3 linked regions of the Coturnix japonica genome follow. The protein of the gene in region 1 binds, or shares a complex with, the protein of each later gene. Links are inferred from orthologs where the notes say so. Each region holds a gene or a part of one and is shown on either strand. Other genes may lie near its edges.

Region 1 (4,152 bases):
TGCCATGGCCTCATATGACCTGAACCACGCCACATTTAAGACTCTTTCCCCCATGAATTTTTCCAACCCTTTGCTTGTGAAGTCTCTTCCCTATCTTGGATTTAACCTCAGTGAACCCTATGAAGCAGTACATCTGTCAGAGAAAGTACCCCATATCTGTGGCTCTGTAGTTGCCCACTGCACCTTACAGCAGAGATTGTTGGTGTCCCTGCACCCTGTTAAGACAGCCGAGGTGCTTGGATAAGAAGTTATAGCTGAATCTGAAGTGTTGCTACATGATGTGGCAAAGCAGCAAGGCCTATGGAGACCTGAGGCTGGACTGTAGATACTACTCCAACTACATCAGCTTACAGGCTGCAGCACTGTTTTAGAAATTGCTACTTTAGATTTGCATCCAAACCCTAAATCCTACATACCTACAGGTAGGTGGATAAGTGACGACAACTGGGAGTTCTTCCCACCAGCTCTGAAGTGCCAGTTCCAATCCAGAAACAATGTGGATGAGTGACTGCATGGTTTACAGATTGCAATTGAAATATCGTGCTGGCGTGCAGCCCGGGCAATGCAAACACTCAATTCTCCATTTGTGGATCTCAGCTTTGGTCTTTCTGCCACCTTTAAAAGAGAGATAAATACTTTCCTGTTTTACAGAGGCTGTTGTGAGTTAATACACTCAAGATTATGGTACTCTCTGATACAATGGATGTGAGAATCGCATGAATAGTGCCTGCTCTTTTATTTCCACCTGTTGGACTAATTACCAAAAATGCAGAAAGAAAGAAGGAAAGAACAAAATTTTAGTGAAAAGCTGTTAGTGAACTTTTAATTGCTTTATTAAATTACCTAAGCAATCTTTCTCTGGTTTACTTTGTATAGAGAACATATGACTGCCACAGAGAAGGGCGTATGTGAGCATAAAGGAAGCATAAAAAGCACTCTGAGTTGTCCGAGGGCTCTGCAAACAATACACGCTTTAGAGATGCGACTGAGGAGGACGGAGCCTGGGCACTTGCAGGAACCCCGGGGACCCGCACTGGGTGGTGCTGCTGGGAGCCTCCAGAAAGCCATTTATATACGATTATATGAATGCACCCCAGACTGGGCGAACTGCTGGGCGTGCGGCTGCTGCTCCTCCAGAAAGAGGGAGAGGGATTAAAAGAGGCACGAAGCGCCGTTAAAAATAGCGCGCGGGAGGCTCGGAGGTGCGGCACGCCGCCCGGGGGCCCGGCCCGGCCCGGAGCTCCACGCTCCATGTAAGGAGCGCGGCCGCACAGCGCCCGCCGCCCGCCCCCGCTGCCGGGAGGAAGGCAGCAGCCGGGAGAAAGCCGCCCGCCGCCAACTCTCCCTTCCCTCCTCTCCCTTCAGGAGCCCCCACCCCGCCTCCCTCTCCACCTCCTCTTCCTCCTCCCCTCCTCCCCCGTTGCTACCGCTGCTCCGCAATCGGGGGATAAATCAGGGAAGCGGACACACGCATGGAGTGAGCGGGGATCCGTTACAAAAGTAGCGCTGATGGCGGCGGATCGGATGAAGCTGGAGCTGCTGCCGGAGTAACAGAGAGTGGAGTGCCTCTCTCTCTCGCTTCTCTCTTTCCCCCTCTCCACCCACCGATCTCCATCGTTTCTCCTCCTCCTCCCCACCCTCGGCCGCACTCCCTGCACATCGCTGGGCTGTGCCAGGGGGCGGGCAGGGGCAGCAGAGGAGCCTTTAAAAACCAGAAGCCCCCCCACACCCAGCGCGCACAATAATTGAATTTATTATTATTATCGTCTCGCCGACTTGGGGGAAAAAAAAAAAACAACAAAAAAACGAGGGATCGATCTTCGATCAGGAAGATGGCTGCTGGCTGGCTGCTGGTCTTTAGCCTGACACTTTTCCAGTCTCTGGTGATGAACCACTCCTCGGAGGGCCCGTTCCCTTCGCCCACCACGTAAGTGCCTCCGAGGCAGCGCCGGGAGCGGGGTGGGAGGCAGCGCCGGGCCGGGGGCATTCCTGGCGATGGGGACAGCGGTACCGAGCGCTGCTAAAAGTAACTCTGCGTGGGAAGCGGCGACAAGGGAAAGCAGCAGGGGTTCGGATGGGCAAAGAGTGGAGTAGGGGGGACCGTCACCCGGTGGCAGTCGGACTTCTGGAGGAGAAGGCTCAGCCTCCGACATCGCTAAATATACACAACCCGGCGGCCGAGCCGCGCCGGGAGGAAAGTTTCGAGTTACGAGGAGCCCGCCCCCTCCTCCCACCGGGGTTATTTCGGTCTGGCAGGAGTTTGGGAGCTCTTAAAATAAATAAATAAATAAATAGAATCAGAACTTGAGGGATTTTAGAAACAAATGAACGACGGGGCGATATTGCCGGCCGTTGGGAAGAAGGACGGCGCTGCCCAGAGCTCCGCTCACTCACAACTGGCCGCATGCCAGTGCGCACCGGGAGTGTTTTGACAGCTCCGGGGTTTGTTTTATGTATGTGTTTGTTCGTGTGGTTTCGTGTGTGCGCACGCATGTGCACAAGCCCGGCTTTTGTAGCGAGCTTAAAGCCACACAACTAAGACACTGTTTCCTTCCACGAGCCGGAGAGCCGGCCTTGGAAATAGAGCTTCCCAAAAGCACCTTTGCGAGGGGAAGTGGTACTCGGTGCGAACAGAGCTCGTTTTGGCATGCCTGGGAGGCAGGAATCTTTAAAGCACCGTGCACTTATTAGCATGAAACTGCTGCCCAGAGCCGTGTGGGATCACATAATGAAGGCAGGCAATACAAGGGCAAAAATAATCCAATTCATCATCTTTGAGCTTCAGCTACAGATTAAAATAAGCTCTATGAACTAATGACCGTGTTTTCTTCCTTTAATTTATTTTTTTTCCTCCACTCCTTCTTTGCTTTCCTTATTATTATTATGTTGAAGCACTTACCTTAGTGCCTAATCTGGGCTGAAGCTATCAGTAGGGAACTTTTAAGCGAATGACTCACTTTAATGCATTTTACATAAGAAAAACAGTGCTGATGGGAGTCTTCCCCATTGTTTAACGCTGGGTGGAATTTATTACCCTCGTTCACTCCGTGCAGAAAGATGAGTTTACAGCAATTACCAGCAATGCATTTTCACCAATTAGTACTGCTGGTAGGTTGTTATAATTGGATTCGGTTCTGAGTTTCGGTTCTGCTACACAGGAATACGAAGATAAGTGTAAAATAACCACTTCGGGTCTTCTAAACAGAATATATATAGCCTTTCGTCGAAGGGAAAATTATCTTAAAAAAATAATCTTTTGCTATTTATAAAGACATACCGTATAAAAGTAAGATTTAAAGCCGGGGTTTTAAATCAGTGCTTTCCCTGTGCTTGAGCTCCTGTATCTGTTTCTGTATTGCCAAAGTGTTTCATACACAACCAACCATGCCTGATCTTCTGCACAGGTTTACCTAATTTTGAGAGGGAAATACAGAATCTCGTGAAATAAAAAGACTGTAGAAAAAGAAGATTGTGTAATTTCAGATAGAACTCCAGATCACTTCTAAGCATTACATTAGCTGATATCTATTTAAAATTACTTTTCATATCTGCCTGTGTTTGCTATTTCCCTTCAGAATTTACCTTTACTGCCAGTTGTGATAATAGAAATTGTCAACAGGGAAGCATGTTATATTAATGCAGTTCTAATTATAAACTGTACCTATTATTAAGTAATTATGAATATGGTGTCAGCAGCATTTTCGTATTCTATACAAACTACCTACCATTAGCTTTCTTTTTTCCCCATTATTACTCCACTGAAAAATTTATAGAAACAATGTGTAACACCTGTCCATCCTTCATAGTAATGTTTCTCCTTTTGAAACTAAAGTGCAAGTGAGGCTTGATTAATTTAGGAGACAGCACAAAAGGTTTATAGAGGGAGAGCTGCTTTGCAAAAGTAGTGATGTAACAGGTGAAGGAGAAAACATTTTTCTGAATCTCTTTTAAGACTTCACAGTTAGTGGGCATTTATTTCCTGCTACAGATTACAAATGGGGAAGAACAAAGGGAAGTCACACATAGGAATGCCCTTAAAGCGAAGGATTTTATATTAAGAATATTAAAGATATGAAAGAAGAGAAAATTAAAAAAAAAAAAAAAAAAAAGGCAGGAGAAGAGAATGAAGAAAAGAAGATGTATTAATAATTG
Region 2 (3,514 bases), about 42 Mb from region 1:
GCAGTGGCCGGCCTGAGCCCCCTCCTCCAGCGAAGCCATTCCCCTACCACGTTCTCCCGGCTGTGTGCCACACCGCCTGCTACACCCTGCAGCCGAGGCTGGCCACAGCAGCCCATCCCAACGCTGCGCCTTGAGGGGGCTGAGTCCAGCGAGAAGCTCAATAGCAGCTTCCCATCCGTGCACTGCAGTTCCCGGTTCCCCGACAGCTCAGACTGTGGCAGCCCAAGGAGAGCCAGGCCAGTGTCCCTCACCGTCCCCAGCCAGACAGCGGGGAGCAGCAGGCAGTTCCACGGCAGCGCCAGCAGCCTGGTCGAAGCGGTAAGGCCACGGTGGCATGGGGACGTGGGTGGTACAGAGGCCAGTGTAGGAACATGACCCTTGGGAGGGCAGGATGCACTGCAAAGCCAAACCCATCTCTGAGCAAGGGTCAGCAGCATGAGTGGGAGGAGAGGGGCCAACATGGCCAACAGGGAGATGCTGTATGGGTGCAGTAGGGCTGGAACTCATAGTGCTAATGTCTGCTTTTGTCTCTGGTTCTGCCGCCTCCTGAAGGTATTGATTTCGGAAGGACTGGTGCAGTTTGCTCAAGATCCAAAGTTCATTGAGGTCACGACCCAGGAACTCGCTGACGCCTGCGACATGACGATAGAAGAGATGGAAAACGCAGCAGACAACATTCTCAATGGTAACAGCAAGCAGAGCCCCAATGGCAACCTGTTGCCTTTTGTTCACTGCAGGGACGCAGGGCAGGACAGTGCAGGCGAGGAAGAGGAAGAGGTGCAGAACCCGGATTGTAGAAAAAGTCAGGAGGAGCTGAAGGACAGCAGGATTTATATCAGCAGCCTGTAGTTGCCAGGGCTGGAAGCGATGCTGGTTTTTTATTTGTTTCAATGTTCCTAATGGGTTTGTTTCAGAAGTGCCTCACTGTTCTCGTGACCTGGAGTAACCGGAACAGCGTTCTTCATTCATTTCTGTTGGGATGAGTCGCAGAGTTGGGTGGTGGCAGAGAACTTGTCAGGAGCGGATAGGACCCCGGCACGCGTCCGCCTGGAATGAGCGCGGTGCCCAGGAGGAGAGTCAGCTCCCTCTTTTTCCAGTCCCTGCACAAGGCACGATGACTGCCTCCCAAGGGCGGCCCAGCCAAACGCGCCCGGCCTCCAGCGGGCATCCTTCAACTTTGCTTGTAAAAATCATTTTGCACATGTTCTGTCCGAGCCTCACCGCCCCCAGTCACCCTGGCCCCGCTGCCTGGGCCCGGAGGACACAGCACCGCCAAAAGGGGAGCATGGGGACTGCAGCGGCTCCTGCTGTTGGCCAATCAGAGCTCGAGGGTCGCTCGCCAGCCAACCTGAGCGTGGGCAAGTCACCTGCCAACCAATTGGAGTTCAGACAGACAGCCGCGCCAGCCAATGGGAGAGCAGGGAGTGGCTGGGCACGGGTTTCTTCTTGTCCCGCAGTTCGGTGTTTCCTTGAGAGCATGTTGCGGTTTTTATTTTGACTATTTTATTTTTATTATATTTTTTCAGAGGGAGAAGGGAGTGTTTACAAGGTTCTGTAACCACCTACCTTTTTGTTTGGGTTTATTTTCACCTTTGCAGATGTTACGTTGGTTTGACCATGTTGTTTTATTTAAGCCAGGTTCTTTTCTCCATTGGCATTTGGTAGAAGCATAACACTGTAGGCAAGTTTTACCGACCACTATGTACACCAAGACTCTGTCATTTGATTTGCTACCGAGCGGAACTTCCTTTTTTTGTTGTTGTGTTATCATAGAACGGCAGCGGGCAACACGCTTGGCACAGCCCCACAGGTCCCAGGGACCAATGGGGCCATTGGGATGCAGCGCCAAATCAGCGCCCGCTGTCGGGTGGGGAACCAGTAACTCTTTGCATCTTCTGTTCCACAAGATATGCAAAAACAATGCAATAATATTAATTTTAAAATACAATCATAAGTCGTGTTGGCATTAAAACTGTATAGAAAAAAAAAAAAGAAATTATTGGGGTTGGGGGAACAACCAAGCAGAAGGCGTTACGCTTCAATATATTCCGTGTGATGTTTTATTGCATTGATGATGTTTCTGTTGAAGAAACCGTTATACTTGAATTCAGGTCAGTTTCGGTATTTTTCAAATATTTTTTTAAAAGGAATTGCAATTGTGCCAAGCAAATATTATCAAATCGAATTCAGTTTGTTTTAAAAGAAAAAGAAAAAAAAAAAAAAAAAAAGAGTCACTTCTTGTATATTTTGCTGCATGTCAAGTGAATCATTTCGTATTTGGAATGTGCCAAGCTTTACCTTTGAACTTTTAAGTGCTTTTCTACGTGTGGTCGGGGACAGGGGTACTATATTTTGTTTTATTTTTTTCCTTTTTTAATTTGTACAATGAACAAAGTGTACCTGGTGTAAGTAACTATTCTGCAATTCACTGACAGGTCGAACGTTACTGATTTTGCATATCTTGTGTTCATTACCCTTCCTCCTCACCCCTTTAAATATGCACGATGACTTTGTTGGTAGAGAGTACCTTTCTTCCTGAGGCCGGGACATTTTGTTCAGGCTTTGTTCTCTTTCCTTTTGCTCAGCCTCTCCAAAGCTCTCTTCCCACGAGAGAGTGGCGAGATACCCAAGCCCATGTGGAAGATTCATCCCATGTCTTCAGCTGGCACCAGCAATTCAGGGAGGGGAAAAGCACCTGCTTGCAGATTGAGGTTAGGTAGTTCATCCTGATAGTTGTAACAGGATGGTGGGATAAGCAAATGCAAATGGCAGAATCGTTTGCAAAATAAATGTGCCTAACTCTGGACTGAAAGCATTGGGTAAGTGAGGGACAGACTCTGGATTGTTGCTTAGGAAAATTGCTGTGGTCTGGTCATGACACAGATGTTCAGTGACTTTTGTCTGTTTCCATGCATGTTCCCAGACCTTAGCACATGGGTCACAAAACACCTGATGCCACAGCATATCCCAGCCATATATCCCTGCTGCTGAGCATGAACCTCTCCTGATTCACTCCACGATGGCACACAGCGGCTGAGAAACCAGGGAGATATTATTAGATTTTATGCGGCTGATTTCTGTCTAGACTGCTGCTGATTTTCTCCCTTTTCAAGATGTTTCACAAACTTGCAGATGAGTACTCAGAGGTGTGATCTGACTCAGAGCTAAACTTTCATTCCAGTCGTGAGCTTCACAGATGTTTGATTACATCGTTTATTATGTATTTTCGTAATGCCCTTGGGTTTAATTCTTGACTCTGCTGGGGCCATTAAGCAGAAATAGTGGAAGATATTTTTGAAAGTGCACTTTTTTCTTGTTACTTTGAACTGGCCAGTAGCAGCTCAAGATGCCTTGCCAACAAATCCTTTTAAGCTGGGGAAATGTGAACCCACTTAAGCAACCATCTGGCATCACAGTCCCAGTCCAAGTCCCTGGAGAAAGCAACCACCTGAAGTCTGTCAGCCTCATTTTTTCCATCCCTCTTGTCTGTACCATGATTGGCATGTGAGCAATT
Region 3 (3,514 bases), on another chromosome or scaffold:
TGGGACCCGCAGCACTGCATGCCCTAAGCTCCTTGCTGCCTCCCTGCTTGTACCACCCTTGGTGATGTGGAGACTCAGCTGGGCAGCCTGTGCTGCAGCTGCTTCCCAGTCACTCCCTCTTCATTCCACAGGTTTTCAATATCATACCCAATCCCTGTCTCCCTGGTAGGAGGGATGCAGTGAGCATTGCTTCGCATCCCAATGGATGCATCACCACACAGTCCCCTGCAGCCCATCCAGTGGTGGCTACACTGGTTGGGATCCCAAGCTCAGGGACCTGTAGCCCTTAGCAGAGTGGGGGTCTGCACAGCACAGGGAGACGTGGGCCTCCCAGGCTCCAGCACAGGCACGTGAGCACAGCACTCACTCCAACACGTGCTCGCGGCGCTGGCTCGGCAGCACGGTGACTAACACCCATGCTGAGGATCTCACAAAGCATCTCTATTAGCACTCAGGATCTTCAGCTGCCCGATGAGCAAGCCACTGTGATAACAAAAGCAATCTCCTGCTGCTCGCTGTTAGGGAGGGGGGTGAAGCAGAATTTCAGAGCACATCTCTCACTGCCTGCCAGCACGGCTGTGTGGTCTCATCCTTCCCCAAGAGCTGCTGGGTTGGTTTTGGCCTCTCCATCCCACACATCTCAGCACCGGCTCCAGGTGTTCTCCATGCTAAGCAACTGCCATCTGACTCAGCCCCCTCCCTGCCGTGTGGTAGTATTGGATTTATTATTATTATTATTTTTTTTAAACATCATTGTGAACAAATCCCCAAGCAGTAAAGTCTGTGGGCGTTATTTGAGCAAAATAGCTGGAGGCAGAAAATATTCCACAATTACGCATTCCAAAAAACCCGTACAGGGGAAGAAATACTCTTGCAGTGAGGGTATTTTTAGGCTCAGGAGAAGTGGAATAAATATTTGACGGTAATAGCAGCACATTCTTCCAATTTAAGGCACTTTGCGAACGTTCGCCACGTCCTATCGTGGCTTTGGCGGTGGGTTGTTGGTAGGATGTTGCCTGGATTTGGGGCTTCTTCACCTCTCGTGGCCCTGGAGATCTGCTGGTCTGGGGCAGGACTGGTGTTGCCTGAACCGTTTTTCTGCCCCATAGGTTTTTGGCAATATCAAACTAGATGAGGAAAGCCATATTAACCGGCACAACAACTTCCGCAGCTTCCTGGGCTCCCTCATGCTCCTCTTCAGGTAAGCAGTTACAGGCTGGGGGTTCAGGGCTCTACATCCTTCCCCATTGCATCCTTCCCTGCTGCTGAGAGTGGCTGTGTTGGTGCAGGAGTGCCACTGGTGAGGCATGGCAGGAGATCATGCTCTCCTGCCTGGAGGGCAAGGGCTGCGAGCCAGACACGACAGCAACGTCTGGGCAGAATGAGAACGAGCGCTGCGGCACCGACCTGGCCTACGTCTACTTTGTCTCCTTCATCTTCTTCTGCTCGTTCCTGGTGAGTTCTTCTCCCTGGCCACAGGGTCATCCTGTGTACTCTCATCCTACCTTCCCTGGGAATCTCAATTCCTTCTTTAATTCCATCTTCCCACACCTTCCCTTCCTTTTCTGCTCCCTTTCCCCCACTTCCCTTTCTCTCCGCCTTTCTCACTTTCACTTAGATGCTCAACTTGTTCGTGGCTGTCATCATGGACAATTTTGAGTACCTGACTCGAGATTCCTCCATCCTGGGACCTCACCATCTAGATGAATTTGTCCGGATCTGGGCAGAGTATGACAGAGCAGCGTGGTATGTAACCAGCTCCTACTCTCCAAGCAGACTCTCCAGTCTGGTTTTAAGTAGGTGTCTCTGCTTTCTGCTGTTGGAAACAACCTGGCTGGGATGCCTGGGATGGTCACGGCAGGGCTGCTCTCACTCATGGACATTACAAGGGCAGCAGCTGGTTCCTACAGTGCCTGGTGGCACAGGCACCTTAGGGGATATCCTGAAGATGCTCATGGTTGGCCATGGTGTTTTCCCATGGTTCCTGCTGACACCCTCCTCCTCTGCCATGCCACAGGCAGGTCCCTCTCTGCATCCTTCCTGTTCTCTGCCCAAGTTGGGCTCCAGAGCCTGGTCCCCAGCACCCACAGTTCCCGTCAGGTTGGAGTGGAGGTTGGCTTGTCCTCAGCCTGGGGAGATGCTGGTTGTCTGCTGGGCTTCTGCTAGGTCACCAGGGAGTTGTGTAGGCTGGGGACAGGCTCGCTCTTATGCACCCACCCTACAGGAGATGGATGCATTTTGTTTCCTGCACTTATTGCTTTGCTGATGAGGATCCCAGTAAGCAAGGCTCCTGTTTGTAGGCAGCACCCTGTTCTTGTGGCAAGGGGATGAGCCACACTGGTTGGTCAGGCTTTGGCTTTGGAGCAGCTCTATGCTGCTCCTCCCAGGATGGTGTGGAGCATCTCGATGGCTGTGTGCAGCCCACAGCAGAGCAGAGAACACCATGAAGGTGTCTTGTGTGGCCCCTTCCTACCCCAGCCTAGGAACACCCTTTTTGGAGCCATGGCCCACCACTGTGCCAGGGTGCTTTTAACTCAGGGCCCTTGGCTGGTGCATGTGTTCCTTAGGGAAGCATCACCTTCTCTTCTAATTTGCCTCTTGAGAAACCAGGAGGTTTTATAAGCCTAATATCATCTCCTGGCACAGTTTCCTGCACCATTTTTCCCCAGCCCAGTTCAGTTCAGTGCTGGCCAGGTTCCTCCCATGTGGCCTCCCACCAGTACCCAGTGCTGTTGCATGGGCAGGTGAGTTGGCTTGTGAGCGGGTAGCTGTGCCTTGGGGAAGGGAGCATGGGTGAGTAGATATCCAGAGGAGATACAAGATGAAACACTCTCTGCTTGGTGAGGGGTTTCTTGCCTGTGAATATGGGGTGGGATTTCTTCATGCCAGCCACTCTCTCACCCCCATGCTGGGTCCCAAGGGCAGTTGCTGCAAAAGCCCCTCTCTGATTTCTGAGCAAAGAAAATATCACCCTTTGTGGTGATATGTAGCTGGCAGGTAGGGGCTGTGAGCAGATGGTGCTGTTGTGGCCACTGGGGAGCTCTGGCCCTCACTGTGGGGATGAAGAACAGGTGAGTACATCCCAGTGGGTCCCACCACCTGCGTGGGGCACAGCTCTGCACCCTGACACTGGGAATGCTTCAGGAAGGGTCTCAGGGGTGACCACACATGTCTTACTCCAGGGAGGCTCAGGGACTGTTTTTGCCCACATGGTTGGCTTAGCTCTGGCCAGTGATGGAGAGGGGACAAGGAGAGTTGAAGGAGAAACCTGAGGCAAAGGCACAGGGTAAGGGTTGTAATGCTGCTCTTTGCCTCCCTGTATGGTTTCCCTCCAAGCTTGTCCAAGGATGCCCAGGAGGCTGCAGCACGCTGCACCTCAGCACATCCACCCCGCAGTCCTGCTTCCCAAAGGGCTCTGAGCTGGAGCAGGGTGAAGAGCTCAGCATCCCTGCACGCGGTCCTGCCAGCTCCCCACCTCGACTGCTTCCTTATTTCAGCAGTGATGGAGGGATAT

The links. Proteins that work in one complex are often made in the same cells at the same time.
Region 2: the proteins of CACNA2D1 (region 1) and CACNA1C are in contact, whole or in part, in a cryo-EM structure (PDB 8WEA), measured with the Homo sapiens proteins. The link is inferred for Coturnix japonica from reciprocal best matches to the Homo sapiens genes CACNA2D1 and CACNA1C. Residues at the interface, in NP_001353796.1 of Homo sapiens: Thr170, Asp171, Tyr173, Ile233, Leu235, Gly262, Ser263, Ser265, Lys270, Thr274, Ala327, Lys328, Gly329, Ile330, Glu366, Gln391, His392, Tyr394, Ile416, Gly417; in NP_955630.3 of Homo sapiens: Phe147, Pro148, Glu149, Asp150, Asp151, Ser152, Asn153, Ala154, Asn678, Lys1090, Gly1091, Asn1092, Tyr1093, Ile1094, Tyr1096, Gly1099, Val1101, Pro1104, Ile1106, Arg1109, Tyr1156.
Region 3: the proteins of CACNA2D1 (region 1) and CACNA1E are in contact, whole or in part, in a cryo-EM structure (PDB 8EPM), measured with the Homo sapiens proteins. The link is inferred for Coturnix japonica from reciprocal best matches to the Homo sapiens genes CACNA2D1 and CACNA1E. Residues at the interface, in NP_001353796.1 of Homo sapiens: Thr170, Asp171, Tyr173, Ile233, Leu235, Ser261, Gly262, Ser263, Ser265, Gly266, Leu267, Lys270, Ala327, Lys328, Gly329, Ile330, Thr331, Glu366, Gln391, Asn393, Tyr394, Ile416, Gly417; in NP_001192222.1 of Homo sapiens: Gln110, Leu112, Pro113, Glu114, Asp115, Asp116, Lys117, Pro119, Arg122, Asn630, Phe631, Asn632, Asp633, Gly634, Ile1330, Gly1331, Asn1332, Val1334, His1336, Met1341, Val1343, Arg1346, Arg1393, Ser1394.

The regions. Positions count from the first base shown.
Region 1 is NC_029516.1:9,138,499-9,142,650, forward strand, and holds the start of CACNA2D1 (voltage-dependent calcium channel subunit alpha-2/delta-1), read left to right. Parts: upstream 1-1,345; 5' UTR 1,346-1,832; coding exon 1,833-1,927; intron 1,928-4,152. UniProt on the Homo sapiens protein: The alpha-2/delta subunit of voltage-dependent calcium channels regulates calcium current density and activation/inactivation kinetics of the calcium channel. Plays an important role in excitation-contraction coupling.
Region 2 is NC_029516.1:51,092,142-51,095,655, reverse strand, and holds part of CACNA1C (voltage-dependent L-type calcium channel subunit alpha-1C), read left to right. Parts: coding exon 1-318; intron 319-552; coding exon 553-849; 3' UTR 850-3,514. UniProt on the Homo sapiens protein: Pore-forming, alpha-1C subunit of the voltage-gated calcium channel that gives rise to L-type calcium currents. Mediates influx of calcium ions into the cytoplasm, and thereby triggers calcium release from the sarcoplasm.
Region 3 is NC_029523.1:5,968,664-5,972,177, forward strand, and holds part of CACNA1E (voltage-dependent R-type calcium channel subunit alpha-1E), read left to right. Parts: intron 1-1,109; coding exon 1,110-1,201; intron 1,202-1,289; coding exon 1,290-1,455; intron 1,456-1,618; coding exon 1,619-1,746; intron 1,747-3,514. UniProt on the Homo sapiens protein: Voltage-sensitive calcium channels (VSCC) mediate the entry of calcium ions into excitable cells.